Linked DNA regions of Caenorhabditis elegans. The protein of the gene in region 1 purifies or fractionates together with the protein of each later gene. This does not show direct contact. Each region holds a gene or a part of one and is shown in the gene's direction. Other genes may lie near its edges. The genes, in order: sor-1 and srsx-14.

Region 1 (6,824 bases):
TTTCTATGCCTAAATACTACGTTAACTGGTTGAGAATAAAGTTATCCTTGAATAAACTCAAAGTTAGTTTCTTTGATATTGGTTACCAAGTTGTAACGTATATCGTGCTCTCTTCATCATATCAAACATCATTCAATCTCTCAACGTCATTTACTGATATCGGACACCCGATGAGTCAATTGTTTACGTTTCCCGTCGTAATGAATAATCTTCAGAAGTTAATCTACCGTACTTGTACAGTAAGGGAAAAGTTGCCGATTGCCAACATTTTTTGATGTTCGGCAACTTTGGAAATTGACAATACCAATTTGAAATTTTATTTTATTATGAAAAATATATTCAGAGAGCCTGAAAGAAGCGAACCTTTTTCTCATATTATTTTTCAGAATATAAGGGCAATATATTTGTTTGACCAATGCCAAAACTTTAACCAGTATCAGGAAAGTAGCCGAAAGTTTTCAGCTGGTCAAGTTAGGTAACTTCCGGTTGTTGTCCATTCCTACTATATTTAGTTGTTCCATAAATTGTATTTTCTAAGATTTACTAATTGCTAGATCTTAAGACTTTGCCTCCATTTTGGAGCTGCTCTTTAATCAAAATCAAAAATTTCCAGCTCATTAACTCCATGGTACTCCAATTTCAGTAATTATTCTACAGTAATCCTCCGGATGAAGGACACGTCTCTTCCGCCACTTGAAAACCCATCAAACGGGGGAACATATCTCTTTAACCTAATTACCGTATTCCCCTCCATTGCGCTTTCATTCAATTATTCGTGGCGGGGGGACACTGGGCCGTCCATCTCGATTTTCTCTTTCTCTCTCTCTGTTCTTTTTTTTTCTCTTTTCCCTCAACATAAAAATATATGCGCGCGCGCCTGGTGCCGTCCTTTCCGCCGCTCTCTTTCTTTTTCTCTTCGTTTCGTAAGCATCTATTTACACATATACACACTCACTCACACACACACATAAACCGAAACGAGAGAAAGATGAAAATAGTGTTGTGCTAGAGAGATAAAATGGGCGGAGTCAACGAATACGGTATCTCGCACCCTCTGCTTAATTGTTTACGTCCCGCCGTCGCTGACAGCTTTTAGAGGATCCTTCAGTATACACACACACACACACACACACACTCACACACTCACACACGAGCATATAATTCTATGATTGATCGATTTGGCGGCAAGTTCCACAGCGGGCTCCGAGAGCACCACAGGGTCCGATGAGAAGACTGCTCTCTTCATTTCACCCACTGTCTAACTTCCAGTGTTGTCTCTTGAATGTGTCATTCAAGAAAGCGCACACACCCTCGTTCACTCTTTTTCTCTGCATCTCTTGTCCTCATCTCTCTTTGTCGATAGTCGTTAAATGCGATGGAAGGCAGGCGAAAAGGATTACTGTATCTCTGACACTACCCACCCCGCCCTTTCGTGAAAGGCTCAACAACAAGGAGGCGTGTCGATGGCCTCCGATTGGTCGATGCAGAATTAGTTGTGTATCTGCCTCATTTCTCTAGACCCTCTTGTTTCCAAGGAATATTTCTCTGTGACTGCCTTTCTGCAGATTCTCTTGCCCCTTGTGTTTCGTTCTGTAGCCAGTCCTCTTCTCCTTTCTCCCCTTCCTTCGTCTGTCCATTTTCCAAACTTTGTTCTCTCCTGTCCATATAGTTTTTCAGTTGTTAAGATGAAAAAGTATAGTTGCATGATATCTAATCAATGTATGACCCCATCATGACTTGTACTTTTACTGTAACAATTGAATTATTGATTTTTCTGAAGGCGGCGGTGGCGGCGGCGGCCAGTTAGGAAACATGCTAAATTTCTATTTTGATTGATGTTGGTAAGTTTCGGATAAATGTTTAATTCTCTTTTCACAATTTCTCATGCATCTTCATACTTTCCTTTGTGCTTCACCTTCTGAAAAGCTGTGACCCGCATGTGCCCATCTTTATAATTATAAATTTTCGTTTTTTTTTCATTAAGTTCTCTTTTTCTAATAAACAAAACATCAGTCACTACTGACGCCAGAGCTGACATCATAAAAAACATAGAGTGATTTGTGTATTTTTTGATATATCCTTTTTCCAAAACTCAAATAATTTAATATCTAGATTTTTTTAAATTTGATTTTATATGTTTTTTTTTGAATTTTGGAAGATATTCTCGTAAAATTCGTCAATTTTGCAAATTTCAGTTTTTTTTAACTTTCAAAACGCTTATTCCTGAAAAATTTGTAATTCTTTCTCATAAGTGTTAAGTGTTTATTGTTCCGAAGTAGCATCTATGTTTAGAGTTTTCCCTCTTCTTCTGATCTACAGTATGGAAAAAAAATTGGCGAAATTTCTGGAGATCAAATGAAGAGGGCGCTCACAGACTACCCGTGAAATTTAGCTGATAACTTTTAGCTGAACATTTCAAAGAGCATATGTTTGACCTCCAAATATTGCGCTTTTAAATTTGGAAGATGTTCTCCTTAATCGTTTCTAAAAGGTTTCTGAGCTTTTAAGAAAATGATGTTATCTCTATCTTGATCAAAATCTTACTGAAAAGAGCAACAATATTAGTGTTTGCATACTGATTACGGTGTACACTTCTCTCAGCGGCGCCCTTTGAATTCTTTTTTGTCTCTCGTTCATAACTACGACTTGTTCTCACCGTTCCGACTTGAAACCCCATAAACCGCGAGAAAAGAATCCAATAAATAAGTGATGAAGAGGGATTTCTTTCTCTTTTTCTCTGCTCCCTTACACTGTCTAATCCGTCCCCCCTCCATCCTTAAATCTCCCAAATGGATTCGTTTTCTTTTTCACCGTTCTGATGTAATCCTTCGTATAATCTTTCTCTCGCTCACTTCAACAGAAGAATTTTCAGATAATGTCGAGTGAACCTGCGTCTTCGTCTACAGAAAAAGTCCCGGAGGAGCCACATCCACACTCTATCAAGCACAAATTTCAAGGGCCACAATTTGTGATCCCCCGAGCATTGAGCGATTACGTGTTGAATGTGAACAATCAGACTCCTGAATCTTATGAGTAAGCTTTACAATTTTACTTTTTTTTGTAGCCTAAGAAATTGTAGTTTTCTATTATTATTGGTCTGCCAAAATATATGTGCAAATAAAAAAAAACGATTTTAGAGTTAGTTGAACCTTTAAATATAAGTTTATTGAGATAGAACATAAAAAATTGCAGAAACATACATGAAGATAAGATTTAGAAAAATAACTTTAATTTCCCAATTTCCAGAAAAGCACTGAACGCCAAATATGGAAGAGATGACTACATCACCTTATGCCTCCACGTCACAAGTCTTTGCACAGAATATGGCCCACTTGATGACGGGCCTGAATATGTACTTCTTTGTGATTCACGAGCTCGTGTTGACAAGCTGATCGAGGATCTCGTCAAGTTGTTAGAGATCGACACAGACTACGTACAACTAGAGTTGCATGGTGGAAAGCGCCTTCATCTTCAGAAACCCGATGCAGTTCTCCGTGATATTGCATATAAACAGAGCAACGAGGGATCTGACAAGTTCTTTTTGGAGATGAAGCTTGTGCCTTCGGAGTCAATGAAAGCGAAAATTATGAAGCAAGAGGAAGAAGAAGAGAAAGCAAGAAAACATGGGCAATATCAACAATATCAAGAGTATCACCAACAACATCAAGCAATGAATGATGGACAAAGTAGCTCGAGTGTACCTTCAACTAGCTCTCCGTCATGCTCCAGTGAGGCAAATCGGAAGGAAATGGAAACAGTGCGTGAACCAGCTGGACCGTCAGAATTGATGAGGGCTATAAATGCTCCAGTTGCTCCTGCCCCGGTTGTAATCAAGATTGAAACTCCTGTTGCATTGCCAGAAGAAGATGAAACACTGATGGATGATGATGAAATGCCTTCGCTAACTGTAGAAGCACCAAGTGAAGAAGCTTCATTTGAAGCTGAACAACCTTCTCCACAAGTCCCACAAGCCTCAATTGAGGGACCATCTCAACAGCAACAAATTCCTGGAACTTCTCAACAGAAAAGACAAGTTGCTCGTGGATCTCGTACTAATATGATTTCCTATCATGATTTACCACCTGGCACTGGAAATGCTCCTCCGATGGCTTGTCCTCAAGTTACACTCAAACTTGAAAAAAATGTTCCATTTGAAGCGAAAATCCGTGCAGTTGCTGGGTACACTCGAAAACCAATTTCTGAAGTTCAAAAAATGAGACCGAGTGATCTGGAGAGCATCTTCCATTCGATCTGCATTGCCAGCGTTCAAAGAATAAAGAGAAGAAATGAACTTGTTCAACAGCTACAGGAAATCAATGCCCAATCTTGTAAAAGTCCGACAATGACTATGAACAAGAAGTTCACATTGGCAAAGGCGTATCAAAGGGTCCAGAATGAAATTGAAAAAATTGATCGAGAGCAAATACTTCCTCAACAGTACATGAACATGCCACCAATGCCACCACAAGGACAGCAAAGATTGCCTCCACCAGCATATCCACCTGGTATTCTGCCACCACAACAGGTAGGTTTTCAGAAACCTGGAAAATTAGTTCAATTTTTTATACTTTAATTTCCAGAATCGTCAACAAGGCGTACCTCCACAATTCCAACGTTCACCGCAATTTATGATTGGACCAGATGGACAGCGTTATGCACATCCATATATGCAACTTCCAAATTCAAACCAAAGAGCTCGAATTCTGAATACTTCATCTGTGCAGCCGTCTGAAGAAGTACGCAATCGCCTCGTGAAGATTGAAGCAATGGCGATGAATATGGCACAACTGAACCCACCTCGACCACCTCCTCCACAGCCACCACATCGAGCTCTCCAAGGAGAACTGCAGTTTTTGAGACCTGGAGCACCGGATCCGTGCAACTTTAGGCCAGATTCTAAGCAGACATATAACAATACATATGTGACTGTTGCATCACCAGCGACGCTCACCAATTCAATCATTCCATGGCACTTCCCGCCATATGAAAAATCAGGAGTAAGTTATACTCTTAAATTTAATAAATCTTCAATAATAGGCAAGCACGGTTTCAAATCTTTGTGCCTGCCTACCGCCTATGTAGATTGTTAAAATTGATGTTTCTGGCAGGAAATCTTACCCTTGAGAATTGCTTTTGACATCAAACTCATTATTTTGGTTGATTTTTTAAAGAGATAGTTAAACATCTATTAAGGTGAAGTTGTAGTAGTTTGAACACGTATCAAAGTCTTGAATTCCTCAAAAGCCCTTAAGTTTTTCAAAAATTCTCACTTTATCAAAACTTTGACAGAGTATTTTTGGTCAAGCTGAATAGTTTGACATGCATTCAATCAAAATTCATTCATTCAACAAACTTACTACTTCACCTTCAATGAATTCTCAGTAAATGCAGGGTTTCGTATAAGTGCCAGTTTTGTTCAAAATCATTGATAAAGTTTCAAAATTAAATTAAAGTTTTCAGAGATTGAATGTGAGCAACACAATAAAAGCTATCAACGAGTATCGTCTTCTGTGCAATTCTCGACAGGCTGATCCAGCAAGTTTCCTCGAATTCTACTTCCTTGGTGATCCAATGCCACACTTCAATAAAATTCTTTCAATTGCTGATTACAATATGTATTTGTCTCGAAGACGATGCGATGAGGCAGATGTCAAGATTCATCGAATGTCGCACAGTGATCAATTGCAATTGTACCTTTTGGAACTTCAATCCGACGAGTCAAATGTGGAAAAATGGAAGACATTCTATAGAATTATGCAGTGGGATTTGCCACTAAACAATGAGTTTCCAAGAATACTTCTACCATCTTCATTAGACATCGGAAGACCAGTTGTTGATAGAAAGAAGAAATCAATTGATCAGGTTATGAATCATATACATCGAATGCATAGTCAACGCCCACCAAGCATGGGAAACTCTTCCACATCTTCTGAAGCTTCATCTACCAGTCCAACAAATGCTGCAACAGCGACCAGTTCTCCAGCATCGGTATGTTAATTTTCTAGGAATTTTGGAATTATTTTAAATTCAACTTTTTACAGAACCGACCAACGACTTCTACAGCACAACCACCAACTTTAAATCCAACATAAATTTTAATTCAATATAAATTTGTAAATAATTATGTTTGTTACCAAACCATATTTTGTGTACCTCTTCCGTTTTTTTCCTCTGTCGGGTTTTTGCTTTTGTCTTATTTTTTACGCTTCTAGTAGTAGTGATCTTAAAACTTTGCTCTCATTTACCTATTTTTAGATGAGTTAGTTTCTTTTTTTGTCTGTTTTACACAATCATCACACAATAAACATTTTATTTGGAGAATCGTTATGCGAAGCGTCTGAAAACAAGAACAGTATTTAAGAAAGCAAGTAGCAATGAAGCAATTTTATAATTGGACCAGCACCAATATACTTTCAACCGGATGGTTGTGAAAATTTAAATTTTGAACTACCGCGCCAATCAGAATGTTTCCACCAATAACCAACTAAGCACGCAAAAAAGTTTCTTTTTTCAATTTGTCGATTTTTTGGTTACTACGAATTGATCGATATAATACAATAATTCCAAAAATATTGGCAGATCACATAAAATCCGCAGATTCATAAAATCTGTGTACTTCCTTTTGTAGATAGCACACGTTGATTTGTCAATCCAGATAATTTATAACTAAGCTTACAGAAGTTAGCAGTAGTATTTCATTTATTCCCAGATCCCTAATTCTGATAGTCAGCAAAAATTGGTAAACTTTTTTTTGGCAAAACTTAAATTCTTATACAATCTTGCAGAACAAACTTTTCATTAGAATTTTCAGGTAACGTCGATCA
Region 2 (5,038 bases), on another chromosome or scaffold:
AGTTTGAAACTGAGGCAAGAACTTCCTTGATAGGCAGGCACAACTTTGTTCCTACCTATCACCTACCTTCTGCACTGTTATGAAAACTCCGGTATTTGGTTTCACTTGCTATATCAATATGAAAGTTCAAATAAAAGTCGTGAACGAATGAAGTAAAACAAATCAAGAATTTATATGGAAATAGTGAAACAGAAAAAAAAATTTCAAGTTTTTTTCCCCAAAAAATTAAATCAAGCTTTCAGGCTTTAACCTATCAAGCAGCAATTCCTGGATTCTACTTGTTCAGTATTTACTCATATGCCATTGGACAATTTGGAATCTACAATCATCCAGCTCTTGAATATTTCACATTTTCCTCATTTCTTCTGATTCCATTTTTATCGCCTCTTGCCTCTTTCATTTTCGTAACTCCCTATCGACAATTTATCAAGCTAAAGCTGTTTAGAATTGTTCAAATTGAACCGACGGAAACATCGAATACTCCTCAAAACTATACAAGTATTCATATTATTGGATAATGAGTTTTACTCAAACATTTTAATAAGTCTAATAAATTTATATTTCTAGTTTGTAACAAAACAAGCAATTTACAGATATATAAAACCTACCATTCCTGACTAAAAAACAATGCTTTCAACGGAAGTTTCGAGGAAGTGGGTCACAAATAAATTGGCTCCTGATGGGCGTAAAATTCACAACATTTTTTTTAAATACTGTTTCACTTGTAGCATTTAATTTCTCTAATGCGCAATGATTCAATAAACCTAGTGAAAGGAGGGGAGGAGCACTATGAAACTATGAAGTTATGAACTTCGGTTATAATTATAGAGCTATGCTGCAGATTATTTGTTCCGGAATTTGCGTCTTGGAGAACACAGTTGTTTTTTTTTCAATTTTTTTGCATAGAGATTTTCCCAAATTAATTAATTTTTCTTTCTTTTTTCCGTATCAATATTTTTTAAGATTTCCTCTTCAAATGTAGTGACGTAAGTTCTTTCAATAAAATATCAAAAACCTTCTTAAAAATAGTTCGATCATCTTTAAAAAAACGTGCTTATTTCCAGCATTTCGTGATTTTATTTATTTTTGCCTATTTTGCAAGAAATTGGATAAAGTACAAAGATTAAAATCACAAAATGAATCACGCGTTGATTATATTCATGAATATATATTTTACTCAATTTTCGGCTGTCTGCATAGAGTTCAGTGTATGATTCCAAAATTTGTACGCTCGGAATTATATTTAGATTTGAATTATCTTTTTTTCTATTAATTTCAAAGTAAAGTTAATTTTTTTAAATTTTTTAAATAGTGTGCCTCTAACAGTTGCCGCAATTTCGGAACATTTAAATTTCTGAATACAAGTGTTTTTTTTTTCAAAAATCGTCTTTGATTTCAATAGGCCTTTAACAAAAAAATACACAATAATAACTGAATAAGGGGAGAACTCAACAGGATCAATAGAAATTTTTGCGAAAACATTAGTGAATCTCTTTTCAAGTTAATTGAAATAAATTTAGTGATTTTCTGTTTTTACTATTCTACTTTATGATTTCCTTGAAACCGCAATAATTAAAAAAAATTCCCAGTTAAACTTTTTTTCAAAGTTGAACTGATATGAAATCAATCATGAAAAACTTTCCAGTAAAAGCAATTCAAACAAATTTTAAATTAACAACGCCCACCCAACAAGTTTTCGATTTTTTCTAAAATAGCTGCTGAACGTTTATCAGACTTTTTCGGTGTTCTAAGTTTTCTACTAAGTTTTTTGAAATCTTTATGATGAAAGTATTTGTCTTCTAGTTCATTTGAATTTATTTTTATGAGAGAGAGTAAAAAAGGAAGATTAAAATAGATTTTTCTTTTTCGCTTTGAAAAACATTTGAAACCGTAAAAAAAATTGAAATATATTTTTTTGTTATGCCATACTTTTTCAGAAAAGAAAATTGCAAGAATTTTATGACAGTGTAAATTTAATTTTGTAAATATAATAATTTAATATGAAACCTGACAACTTTCAGAACTTCCTGCTCTCTCGGATTTCACTTATTTTGGATGGAATCACATTTCCAATCAACCTTATTTAATTTGTCTCGCTTTTTTTGAAATGCTCATTTTCAATTAATGAAACATAATTTTTTTTTAGAAAAAATATGATATCAGAGGACACTTATCGAATTCATCGTATTATTATTTATTGTTTTGTTTTATTTTTGGAAGTGTTTGGACTATTTGGGAATATTAATTTGGTAGTTTTAACAATTAGAAAAAAGTCGTTAAGGACTAAATATGGTGAGTTTTCAGAGTTTCTAGATCTTTAAACAAGATAGGAAGAAATTATTAAAACGGTTTCATGTGCTAGCTGATAAAACATTTTTGAAACAGTAAAATATTTTGAAGTTGCATTTTAATTTTTTGAAGAAAAAAAATTTGATGGATAAATGTAACTTTTTTATTTTTTTCAGGAAATAATTTCTGCAAACTATAAAAAATCAATCCAAAATGAAATTGAAAATAAAGTTGTGACGAGACGATTCGAAATATAAATATTAAAAAGATTAAAAAGGATTAAAGGACGATCCGTTCTTCAAGCGCTATGCACTGCGTAATTCAACGAATAAAACTTATGTTTGGCAAAACAAACTTTGGTATCAAAAAGTTCAAATGTTTCATTATTTTTTTTTTAAATACATTCACAAGAGTTTATATTTCATTTAATTTAAGCCCTTACCAGGTTGCATTTTGGGAATTCTTGCCACATTGCACACACTTTGTCTTCTATATGAACTTGTGGATATGAGTTTCAGCGTAGCTGGTAAGATTGTATTTTTATAGTTTCTAAATAATTGAAAATTAATTCCTGCTTCAGCTTCGTATTATTATTACAAAATTGACCGTCAAACATGCTTCCTTGTAATTTTTCCATACATTTTTCTTTATTCAATGCAAACTGGTACAATATGGGTTTTATCAGTAGATTTATTGATAACAATTTTATATCCTATTAAAAGTCGGAACTTTCACGTTCCCGTGTACTTTGTGATCTTATTTTTGTTACCAGTTGCATATGGAGCTATTTTTGTAGGATTTGGATTTATGTATCTCGTTGAGGAAGCTTTGCCGGTAAGTTTTTTTTTCCTATCATGTTTCAACAAGTTTTTAACTCTGTCTAAAATAATAAAAACAATATTGATACTCGTCGAATCGCATACATTATGATTACCCATTTTTGAATGACAAAACTTGCAAAAAATTAATTGAAGAATAATTTAAACTTGAAATTCGGTAACTTTAAAACAATTTTTAACGAAATGTTTCACTATGCTTTCAAAATAAACTTGTTACTATAAAAACACAATTGTTCGAGCAAACACTTTTCACTCAATTTTCTTCACTGTGATCCGTTTTTTAAAGATCCAAGTAATCCAGATCCTTCGGAAAAGTACCGTTTTAGAACAGGTTTATGTATAAAATATTTTTGCCAACTGGCATGCCAATTAAACAATTGCCACGACTTAAGCAACACAATCATGATCGTTCAAATAGCGTAAGAAAAATATCAAGTCAGTTCCAATGAGCTTTTCAATCGTTGACTTTACTATTTTTATAGAGTTTCAAAAATGAAATTTGTTCATAATTTCATATACTTATAGATTAAAAATTGTTCCATTTCAGATGTGCAATCCACCATCGGCTCTTCATCCAATTGTCAGATCCTATTGGTATTATGTTATGACGGCTTTCTCCGTATTAACTGTAATTTTCTATGTTTCTGCGTTTGCTCTTATCTATTTCAAGGGCCGCCGTGAGAATACAGATCTTCGATTTATTGAGAGAAAAGCCCTGAACACACTGAAATATTTGATACTTTTATTTCTAATGTTTCGATTTATCACTATTACGATTACAAGTATTATGATTGCAATTAGGATTGATCAGGAAGTTGTCGAAATGGTACAAAACTATAATGTTAGTTTTTGAATATTCATTGAATATTTGCTTATTTCTTGTCGAGTTTTCTTGCGATTATAACTGGATTACACTGTTTAATTTGATTCAACATTTCAAAACATATTGCAACAGGCTATGTTTCAAAAAACAATTTCAAAAAAAAATCACAGACTTTAAAAGTGTTAGAAATTATATTTAGTTTCCCTGAGGACCTTAAATTTAACATTATTTTTGAACATACTTCCACACAGACAAGATGCAAAATATATTATTTTTCAGGTTCTCGCGGTGGTCGTTGCTTATTCACAGAATGCTTATATTTGCTACTACAGAAGTTCGGAGTATCGAAGACTGCTCAGCGAGCAAATTTCAAAGATTCATCCAAAATTGGGAGCACTTTTACCAAAATTATCAAATGAGTCAAGTAGTATTGTAGGACAACGTTGGCGAAACTCTACTGTATCAATTGGTCAGACAAAAAAGATTAAAGACAACAGACACTAAAGAAGATATATCACAAATCCATTTTAAATTTATTTCTTGAATTTTTCTTTGAATTGACATTTTTATTTGAATTGAAATTCAAATTTCAATACGACTTCAAATTCTGATACATTTTTCAGAGAATTGGAAAATTTCAATTACTGTTTCATGACATGGTTTTACTGAACTGTACTGTGAGGTTAATACATGCATGATCGAAGTACATAAATAGTGCGGAACAATAATCTCGGGTTTTTTTTGATTATTTGTTATTTGATTACTCGGGAAAAAATTTCAATTAAAAAAACATACATTTCTCTATTTTTGAATGAGTTGCTATCTGTTCTTCTGGTAAAATTCAACGTTTTTCTGATAAATAAATAGGGGGGGGGGGGGGGGGTTTCGAGTATTTTTTATGAAGAATTTTCCGATTTTCTAAGAAAACCTATCTTTTTTCCTGACTTTTGTATAAAATTAACCAAAAATTAAACGTTTGAAGAAATTGAAGAAATTACTGCTGTCAATACTCCGTTGATTGGCTTTATCAGCTGTTAAAAACAGTATTGTGTTCTCCGTCTTTACAATAACTTATGGGAACAGAAAC

What was found.
Region 2: the proteins of sor-1 (region 1) and srsx-14 fractionate together in Caenorhabditis elegans (co-fractionation; one large-scale study listed by BioGRID). This does not show direct contact.

The regions. Positions count from the first base shown.
Region 1 is NC_003281.10:8,416,333-8,423,156, forward strand, and holds sor-1 (Sop-2-related protein 1), read left to right. Parts: upstream 1-1,835; coding exon 1,836-1,841; intron 1,842-2,872; coding exon 2,873-3,033; intron 3,034-3,246; coding exon 3,247-4,525; intron 4,526-4,580; coding exon 4,581-4,997; intron 4,998-5,460; coding exon 5,461-5,988; intron 5,989-6,041; coding exon 6,042-6,092; 3' UTR 6,093-6,322; downstream 6,323-6,824. UniProt on the Caenorhabditis elegans protein: Acts synergistically with sop-2 to maintain the transcriptionally repressive state of homeotic genes throughout development. Not required to initiate repression, but to maintain it during later stages of development.
Region 2 is NC_003282.8:5,624,272-5,629,309, reverse strand, and holds srsx-14 (G-protein coupled receptors family 1 profile domain-containing protein), read left to right. Parts: upstream 1-2,153; coding exon 2,154-2,292; intron 2,293-2,319; exon of another isoform or gene 2,320-2,340; intron 2,341-2,734; coding exon 2,735-2,815; intron 2,816-2,869; coding exon 2,870-3,123; intron 3,124-3,187; exon of another isoform or gene 3,188-3,211; intron 3,212-3,358; exon of another isoform or gene 3,359-3,379; intron 3,380-3,675; coding exon 3,676-3,969; intron 3,970-4,016; exon of another isoform or gene 4,017-4,037; intron 4,038-4,230; coding exon 4,231-4,455; downstream 4,456-5,038. Other genes in the region: srd-12 (G_PROTEIN_RECEP_F1_2 domain-containing protein), read left to right, coding at 243-518.